3 linked regions of the Saccharomyces cerevisiae S288C genome follow. Changing the gene in region 1 together with any one later gene gives a genetic interaction. Each region holds a gene or a part of one and is shown in the gene's direction. Other genes may lie near its edges.

What was found. A genetic interaction does not mean that the proteins touch.
Region 2: mutations in SSO2 (region 1) and PTK1 together harm fitness more than expected from each alone (negative genetic interaction), as found in Saccharomyces cerevisiae (2 studies listed by BioGRID).
Region 3: mutations in SSO2 (region 1) and TOR2 together harm fitness more than expected from each alone (negative genetic interaction), as found in Saccharomyces cerevisiae (2 studies listed by BioGRID).

Annotation. Positions count from the first base shown.
Region 1 is NC_001145.3:625,281-629,327, reverse strand, and holds SSO2 (syntaxin), read left to right. Parts: upstream 1-1,519; coding exon 1,520-2,407; downstream 2,408-4,047. Other genes in the region: RTP1 (Rtp1p), read right to left, coding at 1-303; ADD37 (Add37p), read right to left, coding at 543-1,139; MIN3 (Min3p), read right to left, coding at 3,431-3,517. UniProt on the Saccharomyces cerevisiae protein: Required for vesicle fusion with the plasma membrane.
Region 2 is NC_001143.9:67,163-72,027, reverse strand, and holds PTK1 (putative serine/threonine protein kinase PTK1), read left to right. Parts: upstream 1-1,807; coding exon 1,808-3,796; downstream 3,797-4,865. Other genes in the region: PEX1 (AAA family ATPase peroxin 1), read left to right, coding at 1-1,294; MNN4 (Mnn4p), read left to right, coding at 4,562-4,865. UniProt on the Saccharomyces cerevisiae protein: Essential determinant for low-affinity spermidine transport.
Region 3 is NC_001143.9:56,791-65,140, reverse strand, and holds the start of TOR2 (phosphatidylinositol kinase-related protein kinase TOR2), read left to right. Parts: upstream 1-1,781; coding exon 1,782-8,350. Other genes in the region: MNN4 (Mnn4p), read left to right, coding at 1-1,211. UniProt on the Saccharomyces cerevisiae protein: Phosphatidylinositol 3-kinase homolog, component of both TORC1 and TORC2. TORC1 regulates multiple cellular processes to control cell growth in response to environmental signals. Nutrient limitation and environmental stress signals cause inactivation of TORC1.

The DNA of each region.
Region 1 (4,047 bases):
GATAGGCAATAAGTCACTTTTACTTTCGATGAGCCTCCGTTGCTGTTCTAGTACGTGAATGTGCAAATTCTGGAATTTCTGTAAAAGTACTGCAACAAACTCATTGTTATTTGAGCACTTCAACGCCTGATAAATGGAAGAGGATGATGATGAGCCTGAATCAAGAACATATTCGTTTATGGGAGTAATTACATTGTCATCCAGATCTTCGAAGAAAACATCTAGGGCTGTCTTTTTGGTGAGCTTCGGTCTTGTATTCAATATATCGTGTATGTTGATCTTTTGCTCTTTATCCTCATTCATTTTCCAACCTTTTGTTTTTCTTGATCTGATATGACAAGAAGAAACATGAGGCGGTGATGAGCCCTTATTGCTATATGCTGTTCGACGCGATGAGATGATTACATGTTTTTTATTAAATTTCTCAAGCAGACTGCGGGTAACCTTGATTTTTAATTATTCAATAGGAATTCTTTTTTTTTTTAGAAAATAAAATGTTCTGCGTAGTGTACTTCTATTTATAAATATAATAATATTATTGATTAATTAGGCATCGCATTTTCAAAAATTTTTAAGAATGCGGGACACCAATTTGAGATTGTTGTGTCAGTAACCATCCAATGTTTAATGGTTTTCACGGCCATATTTTTGTCTTTTTCATTGAAAATCTGGGATAGTACTGTTTTGGTGTGCTCGTTTTGTAAAATCTTGGTAATGTTTGAATCTAATTTTTTCTTGTAAAATTCCAACTCCTTCGAAGAGAGCTTCGAGCCACACACACAGAGGTCGTTGATCTTAGCCACTAATTCTTCTTTACTGCATAATATCGGCTGGAGCTGTCTATCGCCTTGGTCTTTTACGAGCACACCTTCACAGGCAGATTCTTGTTGAGCAGCAGTTACAGATGGCCTCCTCAAAACTGGTGGCGGCGTAGTAGCTGTTTTAGTGTTCCCATAAAGATCTAACACTTCTGTGGCAAGTCTGCCGCTAACACATCTTTTCGATTTCGTTCTTTGTTTAGATTTGGATCTAGGTCCGCTATTAGGGTCGATAGAAAACAAAACTGTCGGACAGTCGTTATAACCAGGCACTTCAGCTTCTAGACAATTCTGAAAACTTTTGGTTGGTTTAATAGCCATCGTACGTAATAGTATGTGCGGAAATAGATTGACGAAGAACCGACAGATGCGCGTCTACTGAAGCTCTTATGAGTAGCCTGTGTGAATAAAGAAGCCAGCTAAAAGTAAATATGTGGCATCTTTATGTCTTACGAGCCGGGTACCAAGCGGCAGCAAAGGGTCCCCCCTAAACGACGTGCTTATCACCCGGCCGTTGTTTACGAAATGGCCTTTTTTGACGTTTTTAGTTTCAATGGATGGATGAAAAAAGCAAGTAAAATGACAAATAAATGCTGTTGGCAGGTTAAATCGTTTAATATACCCATAAGAGAGCTGGAATAGTGTGGAATTGTAATACTTTACATTTGAAAACTGCCCATACACGCACAAATATTGCAGCAATGAGCAACGCTAATCCTTATGAGAATAACAATCCGTACGCTGAAAACTATGAAATGCAAGAGGACTTGAACAATGCTCCTACTGGTCACTCAGATGGTAGCGACGATTTCGTAGCTTTTATGAACAAGATCAACTCAATAAATGCTAACTTGTCCAGGTACGAAAACATTATCAACCAAATTGATGCGCAACACAAAGACCTACTTACTCAAGTGAGTGAGGAACAGGAGATGGAATTGAGACGTTCTTTGGACGATTACATCTCTCAGGCCACAGATTTGCAGTATCAATTGAAAGCGGATATCAAAGATGCCCAGAGAGACGGATTGCACGACTCTAATAAACAGGCACAAGCTGAAAATTGCAGACAGAAATTCTTAAAATTAATTCAAGACTACAGAATTATCGATTCTAACTACAAAGAAGAAAGCAAAGAGCAGGCGAAGAGACAGTACACAATTATCCAACCGGAAGCCACTGACGAAGAAGTGGAAGCCGCCATCAACGATGTCAATGGCCAGCAGATCTTTTCCCAAGCGTTGCTAAACGCCAATAGACGTGGTGAGGCCAAGACAGCATTGGCCGAAGTACAGGCTAGACATCAAGAGTTGTTGAAGTTGGAAAAAACAATGGCTGAACTTACCCAATTGTTCAATGACATGGAAGAGTTGGTCATCGAACAACAAGAAAATGTGGATGTCATTGACAAAAACGTCGAAGACGCTCAGCAAGATGTAGAGCAAGGTGTGGGTCACACCAACAAGGCCGTTAAGAGTGCCAGAAAAGCAAGAAAAAACAAAATAAGATGTTTGATCATCTGCTTTATTATCTTTGCTATTGTTGTTGTCGTTGTGGTTGTTCCATCCGTTGTGGAAACAAGAAAGTAATAGAGCACATGCGCCTCCCTCCCGCCAGCCCCCCAATTCCTATTATGTGTAATCAAACAATTTCTATTAAAACCGAAAACCTAAAAATTGTAACGTCTTTTCTCTTTCCTACTATACCCTCCTCATACCTGCCTTTTTAACAATTAGTATTATAATTTTTTTTTTTCACAAAAAGACAATACCGACTATCTAATAAATAATTTTAATACGTATGTAATTTCGTTAAGAACAAGAATTTTTAAGTAAAAAATCTTACTTTTAAGAAAAACTGTCGCCCTTAATATTAGTCCCAATTTTGTAACGAAAAATAAAATACAAATCGGGGTGGAAAAAGGGAAATTTTACAACATTATTATTCCAAAAACTAGTTTTCAAAAAGTAAATCGTGGGGGTATGAACAACAATTGTTGTAGTCGCAACTACGGTAATTGGTCCTAAAAAATTATTCTCCGGGAAAAAAAGAAGAAACAAAGAGATCCCGAAACATAAGTCCCGTGATTCTTTTTGCCCCCCGCTTTCTTTCGCCAAGAGAAGAGCAATTTATTGAAAGGCTTTTCTTGATGTTTTTGGGTTGTGAAAGCGTTAATAGCGCCAAGTTAGAATAGTAAATATCACAACTACAATATCTACACTTCTCACTTGCGCATTAACCTGCACACGTACTAGACTTTATCTGTCTTGATTGTTACTTCTAGACCAATCAACATTGAAGCGCTCGGCAAATGCTTGACAAGAAAAAAAACTAATTTTCCCTTCGCCTTTTATAGTGCCCATCGGATAGGATATTCCATCTTTGTCTTGCGCCCACTTCGTTGTCGTTACCCGCACGTTGTGTTTTTTGAGGGCTTGAGCAAATTCTTACAGTTAAGGTACAATAGTTGTCTCGAAGAGCAGTACATCAACGGCCTGACGACCTACAGTAGCACTTTCCTTTAAGTGTATATAAACTTTCCTTTTCGGTAAGGGATGCAGGAGAAAGGGCGAGTTTTGTTTATATGCGATCCTTTATGGTAACCTTTGCGGTTAATTCAGCATTATGGTTGCTGATGCACACTTAACGAGGGGAAGAAATATTATGTTACATGCATGAAACGCACTCGGTTTTCTCATGGTCTTTCTTTTTTCGGGATTTCTTTTAATAATATCTTTAAAGTATTACTGGTAGTCGGTCTTTCCCCACACAAAAAAAATTAAAAAAAAAAAAAAAAAAAAGAAACTTTCCGGCGCTCCTTCAGGAGTCTCGTAACTGATGCTTTTTCTCTTCCTAATATTAAGATAAAAAAAAAATTAAACACCGGTAGCAACTTCTCGAGCCATAGGGTCCTGCACACCCTGCCATGTTACCGCACGGACCATTAAGTTACGTGGATGCCGGACTCTCAAGCCATGAAAAGTTTATCTTTATTTAAGTAGAGTTTTTCCTTCTTCTCAAATTTCTGAGAATTTTTATCTTCGATCATTCCCTCTTTTTTTCTTTTTTTCTTTTTTTCTTTTTTTCTTTTTTTTTTCCCTTCTCTTACTTTCTTATTTTTTTTTTTCATTCCTCAGCGGATCCCTTCAATCGTTTATAACATTATTTTCCTTCTCTTTTCTTTCATTGTATCTTCTTGATTTCAACTATTGTTTGTGTGTATATGAAC
Region 2 (4,865 bases), on another chromosome or scaffold:
GTATTTTTTCTCGAAAAACCAGATCATGAAACTAAATCGAGATTTGCAATTCAGTGATTTGTCGTTGGAGACAGAAGGATTTTCGCCACTAGATTTGGAAATATTCACAGAAAAGATTTTCTACGACTTGCAGTTGGAAAGAGATTGTGATAATGTTGTAACAAGGGAACTTTTTTCGAAGTCGCTTAGTGCGTTTACACCATCTGCGTTGCGTGGAGTAAAGCTAACAAAAGAAACGAACATCAAATGGGGGGATATTGGTGCTTTAGCAAATGCCAAAGATGTCCTTCTAGAAACCTTAGAGTGGCCCACAAAATATGAGCCTATTTTCGTTAATTGTCCCCTAAGATTGAGATCAGGAATCTTGCTTTACGGTTATCCTGGTTGTGGTAAAACGCTTCTGGCGAGCGCCGTGGCACAACAATGTGGGTTAAACTTTATCTCCGTTAAGGGACCAGAGATTTTAAACAAGTTTATAGGTGCCAGCGAACAAAACATAAGAGAATTGTTTGAAAGGGCACAGTCCGTCAAACCCTGTATTCTATTTTTTGACGAGTTCGATTCTATTGCGCCAAAGAGAGGGCATGACTCCACTGGTGTCACAGACCGTGTAGTCAATCAATTATTGACCCAAATGGATGGTGCCGAGGGCCTTGATGGTGTATATATACTAGCAGCTACAAGTAGACCTGATTTGATTGATAGCGCATTGTTAAGACCGGGAAGATTAGACAAAAGTGTGATCTGTAATATACCGACTGAATCAGAGAGGTTAGATATCTTGCAAGCTATCGTCAATTCAAAAGACAAGGATACGGGACAAAAAAAATTTGCATTGGAGAAAAATGCAGACTTGAAGTTGATCGCTGAAAAGACAGCTGGTTTTTCGGGTGCTGATTTACAGGGGCTCTGCTACAATGCTTATTTGAAATCTGTACATAGGTGGCTGTCTGCTGCAGACCAATCGGAAGTGGTACCCGGCAATGATAATATAGAATACTTCAGTATCAATGAGCACGGGCGTAGAGAAGAAAATAGACTACGGCTAAAGACTCTATTGCAGCAAGATGTGGTGCACGAGACAAAGACAAGCACTTCAGCTGCTTCTGAGCTGACAGCTGTGGTCACAATAAACGATTTATTGGAAGCCTGTCAAGAGACAAAACCTAGTATTTCAACAAGTGAGTTGGTCAAATTAAGGGGGATTTACGATAGGTTCCAGAAGGATAGGAACGGTGAGATGCCCAATGGTGAGAATTCCATCGACATTGGTAGCCGACTCTCCCTTATGTGAAAAGGAAGAAGAAAAGAACAAAGCGCGTTTCCCTTTAAAGGGCAAAAAATGCGGCGCACGTTGCTTATTACGTGACATGACCCTATTGTATTGTGCGAGCACGCAGGACGGGAAAAATATTGGTGAAATTACATAACGCATTTTTTTTCCCTTGTGGTGAAAAGGAAAAACCCGAGAAATATGCCAGTAACAGTGGAGACCGGTCAAGATGTATTGAACGAAATCCGAAGTTGCATATATAACATAAATGCCTGCTACCTTTTGATACTTAATTCTTCTTAGCACCTATACGCTTTTTTTTTCATTTTTCCTTATCTTTTCTTTTTCTCGCAGAAGTCTATACAAAGAAGAAATATATATATATCTATTTCTTTTTTTTTTCAACCGTATACCACCGGCAACAAACCTCCATGTATTCATAGGCCCTGCATTACATCAAGAAATATTAGCATAAACGTATAGACCATTTTAACGCCACAGGCAAGCATACGCATTAAATCGCACCACCAACCAATGACAGTCTCACACAATCATTCTACGAAGATATCCCAACAACCAATCTCCTCGGTATCAGCATTTAAGTTCTTCGGAAAGAAGCTGTTAAGTTCAAGCCATGGGAACAAGTTGAAGAAAAAGGCGTCTCTACCTCCAGACTTCCACTCTACAAGTACTAATGACAGCGAATCCTCCAGCCCAAAACTGCCGAATTCGTTGAAAACCTCTCGCCGTGCAAACTCTTTCGCTCACACAACCAACAGCAAGAGATCTTTATCTTCCGCCTCAACCAAGATCCTACCTCCGGCCGGCTCCAGCACGTCCATCTCAAGAGGAAACAGACATTCGTCCACTTCGCGTAATCTCTCAAACTCCAAGTTCAGTAGCGAACGATTAGTGTACAATCCATACGGCGTCTCAACCCCAAGCACGTCACTCTCGTCCGTCTCTACCTCCATGAAGAAAGACCCTGATCTGGGCTTCTACCTTCACGATGGGGATTCCAAAATCCGCATGCTGCCGATCCCAATTGTGGACCCAAACGAGTATCTGCCCGACGAGATGAAGGAGGCAAGCATCCAGTTGAGCGATAACTTCGTCTTTGATGATGAGAATAAGACCATCGGATGGGGCGGTTCGTGCGAAGTGCGCAAGATCCGCTCCAAGTACCGCAAGAAGGACGTATTTGCTCTAAAGAAGCTCAATATGATCTATAATGAAACGCCCGAGAAATTCTACAAGCGCTGCTCAAAGGAGTTTATCATCGCAAAGCAGCTAAGTCATCATGTTCACATCACAAATACTTTCCTTCTAGTCAAGGTGCCCACCACCGTCTACACCACTCGCGGGTGGGGGTTCGTCATGGAGCTAGGTCTACGAGATTTGTTCGCGATGATACAAAAATCGGGCTGGCGCAGCGTGGCCCTAGCAGAAAAGTTTTGTATATTCAAACAGGTGGCGTGTGGTGTCAAGTTTTGCCACGATCAGGGCATCGCCCACCGTGATTTGAAACCGGAAAATGTACTGCTATCCCCGGACGGCGTGTGCAAGCTGACAGATTTTGGTATCTCAGACTGGTACCACACGGATCCACACGACCTGTCCAGCCCTGTCAAGAAGTGCGCAGGGATGATCGGCTCGCCGCCGTATGCTCCCCCGGAGGTCATGTTCTACGACTCCAAGAAGCACTACGATACGGAATTGCAACAGCCGTATGACCCACGCGCTCTAGACTGTTATGGCCTGGGTATTATCCTCATGACCCTCGTCAACAACGTCATTCCATTTTTGGAATCCTGCAGCTTCGACACTGGTTTCCGCGATTACTGTGACGCTTATGAAAACTTTATCCGTCTTCACGATCGCGCATTCCGCAATCGCGGCAATTACCGCCCGGGGCCGGGAATGGAGTATCACTTGGCTAGAAATTTCAAGAACGGACATGCATCTCGCGTGGCATGGCGGCTCGCTGACCCAGAAGCCGCCACCCGCTACACCATCGACGACCTCTTCGAAGACCCATGGTTCCAAGGAATTGAGACTTGTGTTGATGCCAACGACAAATATGTGTGTAAGAAACCTATTATCAAAACCACTACGTACGAGAATCCGCGGGGTTTCCATATCGCTACAGATGTTGCTGCAACCACACCCACCTCAAACCCATTCCTTAAGAACCGAGTCCCCATCAGGTCAATGGTAGATATAGCCGCCCATCCTTCCCCAACGGCCACGGTTTTAGCGTCGTCGCCTCCGCCGCCTCCTCCGGCGACTCATGTGCCAGCCGAGGCCTTATTTACACTTAGGGAAACCCCGCCGCCCCAGCTAGCAACCCTCACGCTTAGCGAAGAACCTCCCGCAACTCCCGCACCTTCCGCACCTTCCGCACCTTCCGCTCGCGTCCGTGGCCACTCCCCGCACAGGGTAGTGCATCACCATCTGAACATTGTCAACAGCTTGGTCCATAGTTCTAGCGCGGCGTCTTCTCAAGTTCCGGCTTCGACCTAGCCAGAATGTGCAGCAGAGTAAATAATATTCACTTCCCTGTTCCTAAAGCGTACAATATACAACTCCAACTTCATATCAACTACCAGAAACAGTAACATACGTAATAGTTATTTTCTATATTTTTATTTTTTTTTTGCCACTGACCAGTCTTCGCGGCGGTGTGAGTTTCCGTCTGTACGCAGCATTTAGCAGAGATTTGCCAATGCCAAGAAACTCCGCTAAACTAACATCGCGATGCAATGGGCTTGGTATTCCGTGGAAGAAAATGAAAACCGGCGCAAAGAATCCTCCGAGAAAATTTGATGCGGTGCACGGATTTCAGCACGGGTTTCAGCACGGATTTTATTTCTTTGCACCCCGCAAATTTCTGGGCGATGATAAACATACCGCATCTAAAACCGTATACAGACTACGGCACAGAAGCCAAGACTAACAAAAAAAAAAAAAAAAAAAAAAAAGAAAAAAGAAAAATGTCACGTGTTATTCCTTGTGCCCTCTGACCTACGTAGTTACTTGCGTGGCTTCAAATTTGATATCAGCTCTCGAGACGTCCTGATCTCTATACCTTATTGCTTGCTTTAGGTTGAGGCAATAAAGAAATAATTACATCTTTGGTTCTTTCCCCCTTTTTATATATCTGCAACAATATTAAACAATTAAATTAAAGAAGCACGTTTCCGTTTTTTATCATATACCATTCCCCTAACCGCCGAACTCACCGCATCACAACGTCACTATTCCTTCACACAAATAAACTAATTAGTTATGCTTCAGCGAATATCATCTAAACTTCACAGGCGGTTCTTATCTGGCCTGCTGCGTGTCAAGCACTACCCATTAAGGCGCATTCTCCTTCCACTGATTCTACTGCAGATCATCATTATAACGTTTATCTGGTCAAATTCACCGCAGCGTAACGGACTTGGGCGGGACGCTGATTACCTTCTACCAAATTACAACGAACTTGACAGTGATGATGATTCCTGGTATAGCATCCTGACTTCGTCTTTCAAAAACGATCGCAAGATCCAGTTCGCTAAGACATTATACGAAAATTTAAAATTCGGCA
Region 3 (8,350 bases), on another chromosome or scaffold:
AATGCAGTAATATTAATTCATGGTATCCAAACATCCCCAGTATTAATTCATGGAATCCGAACCTCTTGAAAGAAATATCGTCTACGAAATTTGAGTCGAAACTTTTTGATTCCAACAAAGTCTCTGAATACTCTTTCAAAAACCTATCCATGGATGATGTTCGCTTAATTTATAAAAATATTCCAAAAGCTGGCTTTATCGAGGTATTTACTAACTTGTACAATTCCTTCAATGTCACTGCATATAGGCAAAAGGAATTGGAAATTCAATACTGCCAAAACCTGACATTTATTGAAAAAAAGAAATTATTACATCAATTGCGCATTAATGTTGCTCCTAAGTTAAGCTCCCCTGCAAAGGACCCATTTCTTTTTGGTTATGAAAAAGCTATGTGGAAGGATTTATCAAAATCTATGAACCAGACTACATTAGATCAAGTTACCAAGATTGTTCATGAAGAATATGTCGGAAAAATTATTGATCTGTCCGAAAGTTTGAAATACAGGAATTTTTCACTTTTCAACATTACTTTTGATGAAACTGGAACAACTCTAGATGATAACACAGAAGATTATACTCCTGCTAATACTGTTGAAGTAAATCCTGTGGATTTTAAATCAAATTTAAACTTTAGTAGCAACTCCTTTTTGGATTTAAATTCATATGGTTTAGACCTTTTTGCGCCAACTTTATCCGACGTTAACAGAAAGGGTATTCAAATGTTTGATAAGGACCCTATTATTGTATACGAGGACTATGCTTATGCCAAGTTACTTGAAGAAAGAAAGCGGAGGGAGAAGAAGAAGAAGGAGGAAGAGGAGAAGAAGAAGAAGGAAGAAGAGGAAAAGAAGAAGAAGGAAGAAGAAGAAAAGAAAAAGAAGGAAGAGGAAGAGAAGAAAAAGAAGGAAGAAGAAGAGAAGAAAAAGAAGGAAGAAGAAGAAAAGAAGAAGCAGGAGGAAGAGGAGAAAAAGAAGAAGGAAGAAGAAGAGAAGAAGAAGCAGGAAGAAGGAGAAAAGATGAAGAATGAAGATGAAGAAAATAAGAAGAATGAAGATGAAGAAAAGAAGAAGAACGAAGAAGAGGAAAAAAAGAAGCAGGAAGAGAAAAACAAGAAGAATGAAGATGAAGAAAAGAAGAAGCAGGAAGAGGAAGAAAAGAAGAAGAACGAAGAAGAGGAAAAAAAGAAGCAGGAGGAGGGGCACAGCAATTAAAAGTCGGAGAACCTGACTGAAAATTCATGAATCTCTTCATTTCTATAGCCTTTCCTCTATGCATTTGTATTATATATTTATTACCGTCATTTTTTACATACTGCTGCATTTTGGCGCCAGTGATAAGTGGCAAACAATTCGACGGAATCGTGGTAATTATACCACGTTACTCTATAACATCATGATATTGCAATTAATCAAACATACATTTAATCTTAATGCTATTAGCTTACTACAACTCTTTTCTTTAAGTTATATCGTATATTTCTTGGGCGATGTCAGAATATTTACCCGGATATTCCTTTTTAAGCACTGAATATGTTTGAATAGAGACTGACATATATGGCAGCAATTAAAATTGGAAGAAATGTAATGACAGTAGGAAAGACCAATTTTTATCATCGTGACACCAATCACTTCCTTAACTGAGCTTTACTTGTATTTATTTACAGGTAGATTAGGAGCAGTAGAAAGGGAAAATATACCGGGTGCATAAAGAGCATAGTCATTAAGATCAAATAGTTATCTTTCTCAAAGAGATTTCTGATCTTTACTTTCCCCATATGAAAAATGAATAAATACATTAACAAATACACCACGCCACCTAACTTATTGTCTTTACGACAAAGGGCCGAAGGCAAACACAGAACAAGAAAGAAACTTACACACAAATCGCACTCCCACGATGATGAGATGTCAACTACTTCAAACACAGATTCCAATCACAATGGGCCCAATGACTCTGGTAGAGTGATCACTGGTTCTGCTGGTCATATTGGTAAAATATCCTTTGTAGATTCAGAACTAGATACAACATTTTCTACTTTAAATTTGATTTTTGATAAACTTAAAAGCGATGTGCCACAAGAACGAGCCTCTGGCGCTAATGAATTAAGCACTACTTTGACCTCATTAGCAAGGGAAGTATCTGCTGAGCAATTTCAAAGGTTTAGCAACAGTTTAAACAATAAGATATTTGAACTTATTCACGGGTTTACTTCAAGTGAGAAGATAGGTGGTATTCTTGCTGTTGATACTCTGATCTCATTCTACCTGAGTACAGAGGAGCTGCCAAACCAAACTTCAAGACTGGCGAACTATTTACGTGTTTTAATTCCATCCAGTGACATTGAAGTTATGAGATTAGCGGCTAACACCTTAGGTAGATTGACCGTGCCAGGTGGTACATTAACATCAGATTTCGTCGAATTTGAGGTCAGAACTTGCATTGATTGGCTTACTCTGACAGCAGATAATAACTCATCGAGCTCTAAGTTGGAATACAGGAGACATGCTGCGCTATTAATCATAAAGGCATTAGCAGACAATTCACCCTATCTTTTATACCCTTACGTTAACTCTATCTTAGACAATATTTGGGTGCCATTAAGGGATGCAAAGTTAATTATACGATTAGATGCCGCAGTGGCATTGGGTAAATGTCTTACTATTATTCAGGATAGAGACCCTGCTTTGGGAAAACAGTGGTTTCAAAGATTATTTCAAGGTTGTACACATGGCTTAAGTCTCAATACGAATGATTCAGTGCATGCTACTCTGTTGGTATTTCGAGAATTACTCAGCTTGAAAGCACCTTATCTCAGGGATAAATATGATGATATTTACAAATCTACTATGAAGTACAAGGAATATAAATTTGATGTTATAAGGAGAGAAGTTTATGCTATTTTACCTCTTTTAGCTGCTTTTGACCCTGCCATTTTCACAAAGAAATATCTCGATAGGATAATGGTTCATTATTTAAGATATTTGAAGAACATCGATATGAATGCTGCAAATAATTCGGATAAACCTTTTATATTAGTTTCTATAGGTGATATTGCATTTGAAGTTGGTTCGAGCATTTCACCCTATATGACACTTATTCTGGATAATATTAGGGAAGGCTTAAGAACGAAATTCAAAGTTAGAAAACAATTCGAGAAGGATTTATTTTATTGCATTGGTAAATTAGCTTGTGCTTTGGGCCCAGCTTTTGCTAAGCACTTGAACAAAGATCTTCTTAATTTGATGTTAAACTGTCCAATGTCCGACCATATGCAGGAGACTTTAATGATCCTTAACGAGAAAATACCCTCTTTGGAATCTACCGTTAATTCGAGGATACTAAATTTACTGTCGATATCCTTATCTGGTGAAAAATTTATTCAATCAAACCAATACGATTTTAATAATCAATTTTCCATTGAAAAGGCTCGTAAATCAAGAAACCAAAGTTTCATGAAAAAAACTGGTGAATCTAATGACGATATTACAGATGCCCAAATTTTGATTCAGTGTTTTAAAATGCTGCAACTAATTCATCATCAATATTCCTTGACGGAGTTTGTTAGGCTTATAACCATTTCTTACATTGAGCATGAGGATTCGTCTGTCAGAAAATTGGCAGCATTAACGTCGTGTGATTTATTTATCAAAGACGATATATGTAAACAAACATCAGTTCATGCTTTACACTCGGTTTCTGAAGTGCTAAGTAAGCTATTAATGATCGCAATAACTGATCCGGTTGCAGAAATTAGATTGGAAATTCTTCAGCATTTGGGGTCAAATTTTGATCCTCAATTGGCCCAACCAGACAATTTACGCCTACTTTTCATGGCGCTGAACGATGAGATTTTTGGTATTCAATTGGAAGCTATCAAAATAATAGGCAGATTGAGTTCTGTCAACCCCGCTTATGTAGTTCCTTCTTTGAGGAAAACTTTACTGGAACTATTAACGCAATTGAAGTTCTCAAATATGCCAAAAAAAAAGGAGGAAAGTGCAACTCTATTATGTACGCTGATAAATTCCAGCGATGAAGTAGCGAAACCTTATATTGATCCTATTCTAGACGTCATTCTTCCTAAATGCCAGGATGCTTCATCTGCCGTAGCATCCACCGCTTTAAAGGTTTTGGGTGAACTATCTGTTGTTGGAGGAAAAGAAATGACGCGTTACTTAAAGGAATTGATGCCATTGATCATTAACACATTTCAGGACCAATCAAACTCTTTTAAAAGAGATGCCGCCTTAACAACATTAGGACAGCTGGCTGCTTCCTCTGGTTATGTTGTTGGCCCTTTACTAGACTACCCAGAGTTACTTGGCATTTTGATAAATATTCTTAAGACTGAAAACAACCCTCATATCAGGCGTGGAACTGTTCGTTTGATTGGTATATTAGGCGCTCTTGATCCATATAAGCACAGAGAAATAGAAGTCACATCAAACTCAAAGAGTTCAGTAGAGCAAAATGCTCCTTCAATCGACATCGCATTGCTAATGCAAGGGGTATCTCCATCCAACGATGAATATTACCCCACTGTAGTTATCCACAATCTGATGAAGATATTGAATGATCCATCGTTGTCAATCCATCACACGGCTGCTATTCAAGCTATTATGCATATTTTTCAAAACCTTGGTTTACGATGTGTCTCCTTTTTGGATCAAATTATTCCAGGTATCATTTTAGTCATGCGTTCATGCCCGCCGTCCCAACTTGACTTTTATTTTCAGCAACTGGGATCTCTCATCTCAATTGTCAAGCAACATATTAGGCCCCATGTCGAGAAAATTTATGGTGTGATCAGGGAGTTTTTCCCGATCATTAAACTACAAATCACAATTATTTCTGTCATAGAATCGATATCTAAGGCTCTGGAAGGTGAGTTTAAAAGATTTGTTCCCGAGACTCTAACCTTTTTCCTTGATATTCTTGAGAACGACCAGTCTAATAAAAGGATCGTTCCGATTCGTATATTAAAATCTTTGGTTACTTTTGGGCCGAATCTAGAAGACTATTCCCATTTGATTATGCCTATCGTTGTTAGAATGACTGAGTATTCTGCTGGAAGTCTAAAGAAAATCTCCATTATAACTTTGGGTAGATTAGCAAAGAATATCAACCTCTCTGAAATGTCATCAAGAATTGTTCAGGCGTTGGTAAGAATTTTGAATAATGGGGATAGAGAACTAACAAAAGCAACCATGAATACGCTAAGTTTGCTCCTTTTACAACTAGGTACCGACTTTGTGGTCTTTGTGCCAGTGATTAACAAGGCGTTATTGAGGAATAGGATTCAGCATTCAGTGTACGATCAACTGGTTAATAAATTACTGAACAATGAATGCTTGCCAACAAATATCATATTTGACAAGGAGAACGAAGTACCTGAAAGGAAAAATTATGAAGACGAAATGCAAGTAACGAAATTACCGGTAAACCAAAATATCCTAAAGAATGCATGGTATTGTTCTCAACAGAAGACCAAAGAAGATTGGCAAGAATGGATAAGAAGGCTATCTATTCAGCTTCTAAAGGAATCACCTTCAGCTTGTCTACGATCCTGTTCGAGTTTAGTCAGCGTTTATTATCCGTTGGCGAGAGAATTGTTTAATGCTTCATTCTCAAGTTGCTGGGTTGAGCTTCAAACGTCATACCAAGAGGATTTGATTCAAGCATTATGCAAGGCTTTATCATCCTCTGAAAACCCACCCGAGATTTATCAAATGTTGTTAAATTTAGTGGAATTTATGGAGCACGATGACAAACCATTGCCTATCCCAATCCATACATTAGGTAAGTATGCCCAAAAATGTCATGCTTTTGCGAAGGCACTACATTACAAAGAGGTAGAATTCTTAGAAGAGCCGAAAAATTCAACAATCGAGGCATTGATTAGCATTAATAATCAACTTCACCAAACTGATTCTGCTATTGGTATTTTGAAGCATGCGCAACAACACAATGAATTGCAGCTGAAGGAAACTTGGTATGAAAAACTTCAACGTTGGGAGGATGCTCTTGCAGCATATAATGAGAAGGAGGCAGCAGGAGAAGATTCGGTTGAAGTGATGATGGGAAAATTAAGATCGTTATATGCCCTTGGAGAGTGGGAAGAGCTTTCTAAATTGGCATCTGAAAAGTGGGGCACGGCAAAACCCGAAGTGAAGAAGGCAATGGCGCCTTTGGCTGCCGGCGCTGCCTGGGGTTTGGAGCAATGGGATGAAATAGCCCAGTATACTAGCGTCATGAAATCGCAGTCTCCAGATAAAGAATTCTATGATGCAATTTTATGTTTGCATAGGAATAATTTTAAGAAGGCGGAAGTTCACATCTTTAATGCAAGGGATCTTCTAGTTACTGAATTGTCAGCTCTTGTTAATGAAAGCTACAATAGAGCATATAATGTTGTTGTTAGAGCGCAGATTATAGCAGAGTTGGAGGAAATCATCAAATATAAGAAGTTGCCACAAAATTCAGATAAACGTCTAACTATGAGAGAAACTTGGAATACCAGATTACTGGGCTGTCAAAAAAATATTGATGTGTGGCAAAGAATTCTGCGTGTCAGATCATTGGTGATAAAGCCAAAGGAGGATGCTCAAGTGAGGATTAAGTTTGCCAACTTATGCAGAAAATCGGGTAGGATGGCGCTAGCTAAAAAAGTCTTAAATACATTGCTTGAAGAAACAGATGACCCAGATCATCCTAATACTGCTAAGGCATCCCCTCCAGTTGTTTATGCACAACTGAAGTACTTGTGGGCTACGGGGTTGCAAGATGAGGCTTTGAAGCAATTAATTAATTTCACATCTAGAATGGCTCATGATTTAGGTTTGGATCCAAATAATATGATAGCTCAAAGCGTTCCTCAACAAAGCAAAAGAGTCCCTCGTCACGTTGAAGATTATACTAAGCTTTTAGCTCGTTGTTTCTTGAAGCAAGGAGAATGGAGAGTTTGCTTACAGCCTAAATGGAGATTGAGCAATCCAGATTCGATCCTAGGCTCCTATTTGCTCGCTACACATTTTGACAACACATGGTACAAAGCGTGGCATAACTGGGCACTGGCCAATTTTGAAGTCATTTCTATGCTAACATCTGTCTCTAAAAAGAAACAGGAAGGAAGTGATGCTTCCTCGGTAACTGATATTAATGAGTTTGATAATGGCATGATCGGCGTCAATACATTTGATGCTAAGGAAGTTCATTACTCTTCTAATTTAATACACAGGCACGTAATTCCAGCAATTAAGGGTTTTTTTCATTCCATTTCTTTATCAGAATCAAGCTCTCTTCAAGATGCATTAAGGTTATTAACTTTATGGTTTACTTTTGGTGGTATTCCAGAAGCAACCCAAGCTATGCACGAGGGTTTCAACCTAATCCAAATAGGCACATGGTTAGAAGTGTTGCCACAGTTAATTTCTAGAATTCATCAACCCAATCAAATTGTTAGTAGGTCATTACTCTCCCTATTATCTGATCTAGGTAAGGCTCATCCGCAGGCATTAGTGTACCCCTTAATGGTTGCGATTAAATCCGAATCTCTCTCACGACAGAAAGCAGCTTTGTCCATCATAGAAAAGATGAGAATACATAGTCCAGTTTTGGTCGACCAGGCTGAACTTGTCAGCCACGAATTGATACGTATGGCGGTGCTTTGGCATGAGCAATGGTATGAGGGTCTGGATGACGCCAGTAGGCAGTTTTTTGGAGAACATAATACCGAAAAAATGTTTGCTGCTTTAGAGCCTCTGTACGAAATGCTGAAGAGAGGACCGGAAACTTTGAGGGAAATATCGTTCCAAAATTCTTTTGGTAGGGACTTGAATGACGCTTACGAATGGCTGATGAATTACAAAAAATCTAAAGATGTTAGTAATTTAAACCAAGCGTGGGACATTTACTATAATGTTTTCAGGAAAATTGGTAAACAGTTGCCACAATTACAAACTCTTGAACTACAACATGTGTCGCCAAAACTACTATCTGCGCATGATTTGGAATTGGCTGTCCCCGGGACCCGTGCAAGTGGTGGAAAACCAATTGTTAAAATATCTAAATTCGAGCCAGTATTTTCAGTAATCTCATCCAAACAAAGACCGAGAAAGTTTTGTATCAAGGGTAGTGATGGTAAAGATTATAAGTATGTGTTGAAAGGACATGAAGACATTAGACAGGATAGCTTGGTCATGCAATTATTCGGACTAGTTAACACGCTTTTGCAAAATGACGCTGAGTGCTTTAGAAGGCATCTAGATATCCAGCAATATCCAGCAATCCCATTATCTCCGAAGTCTGGGTTACTGGGTTGGGTACCGAATAGTGACACGTTCCATGTATT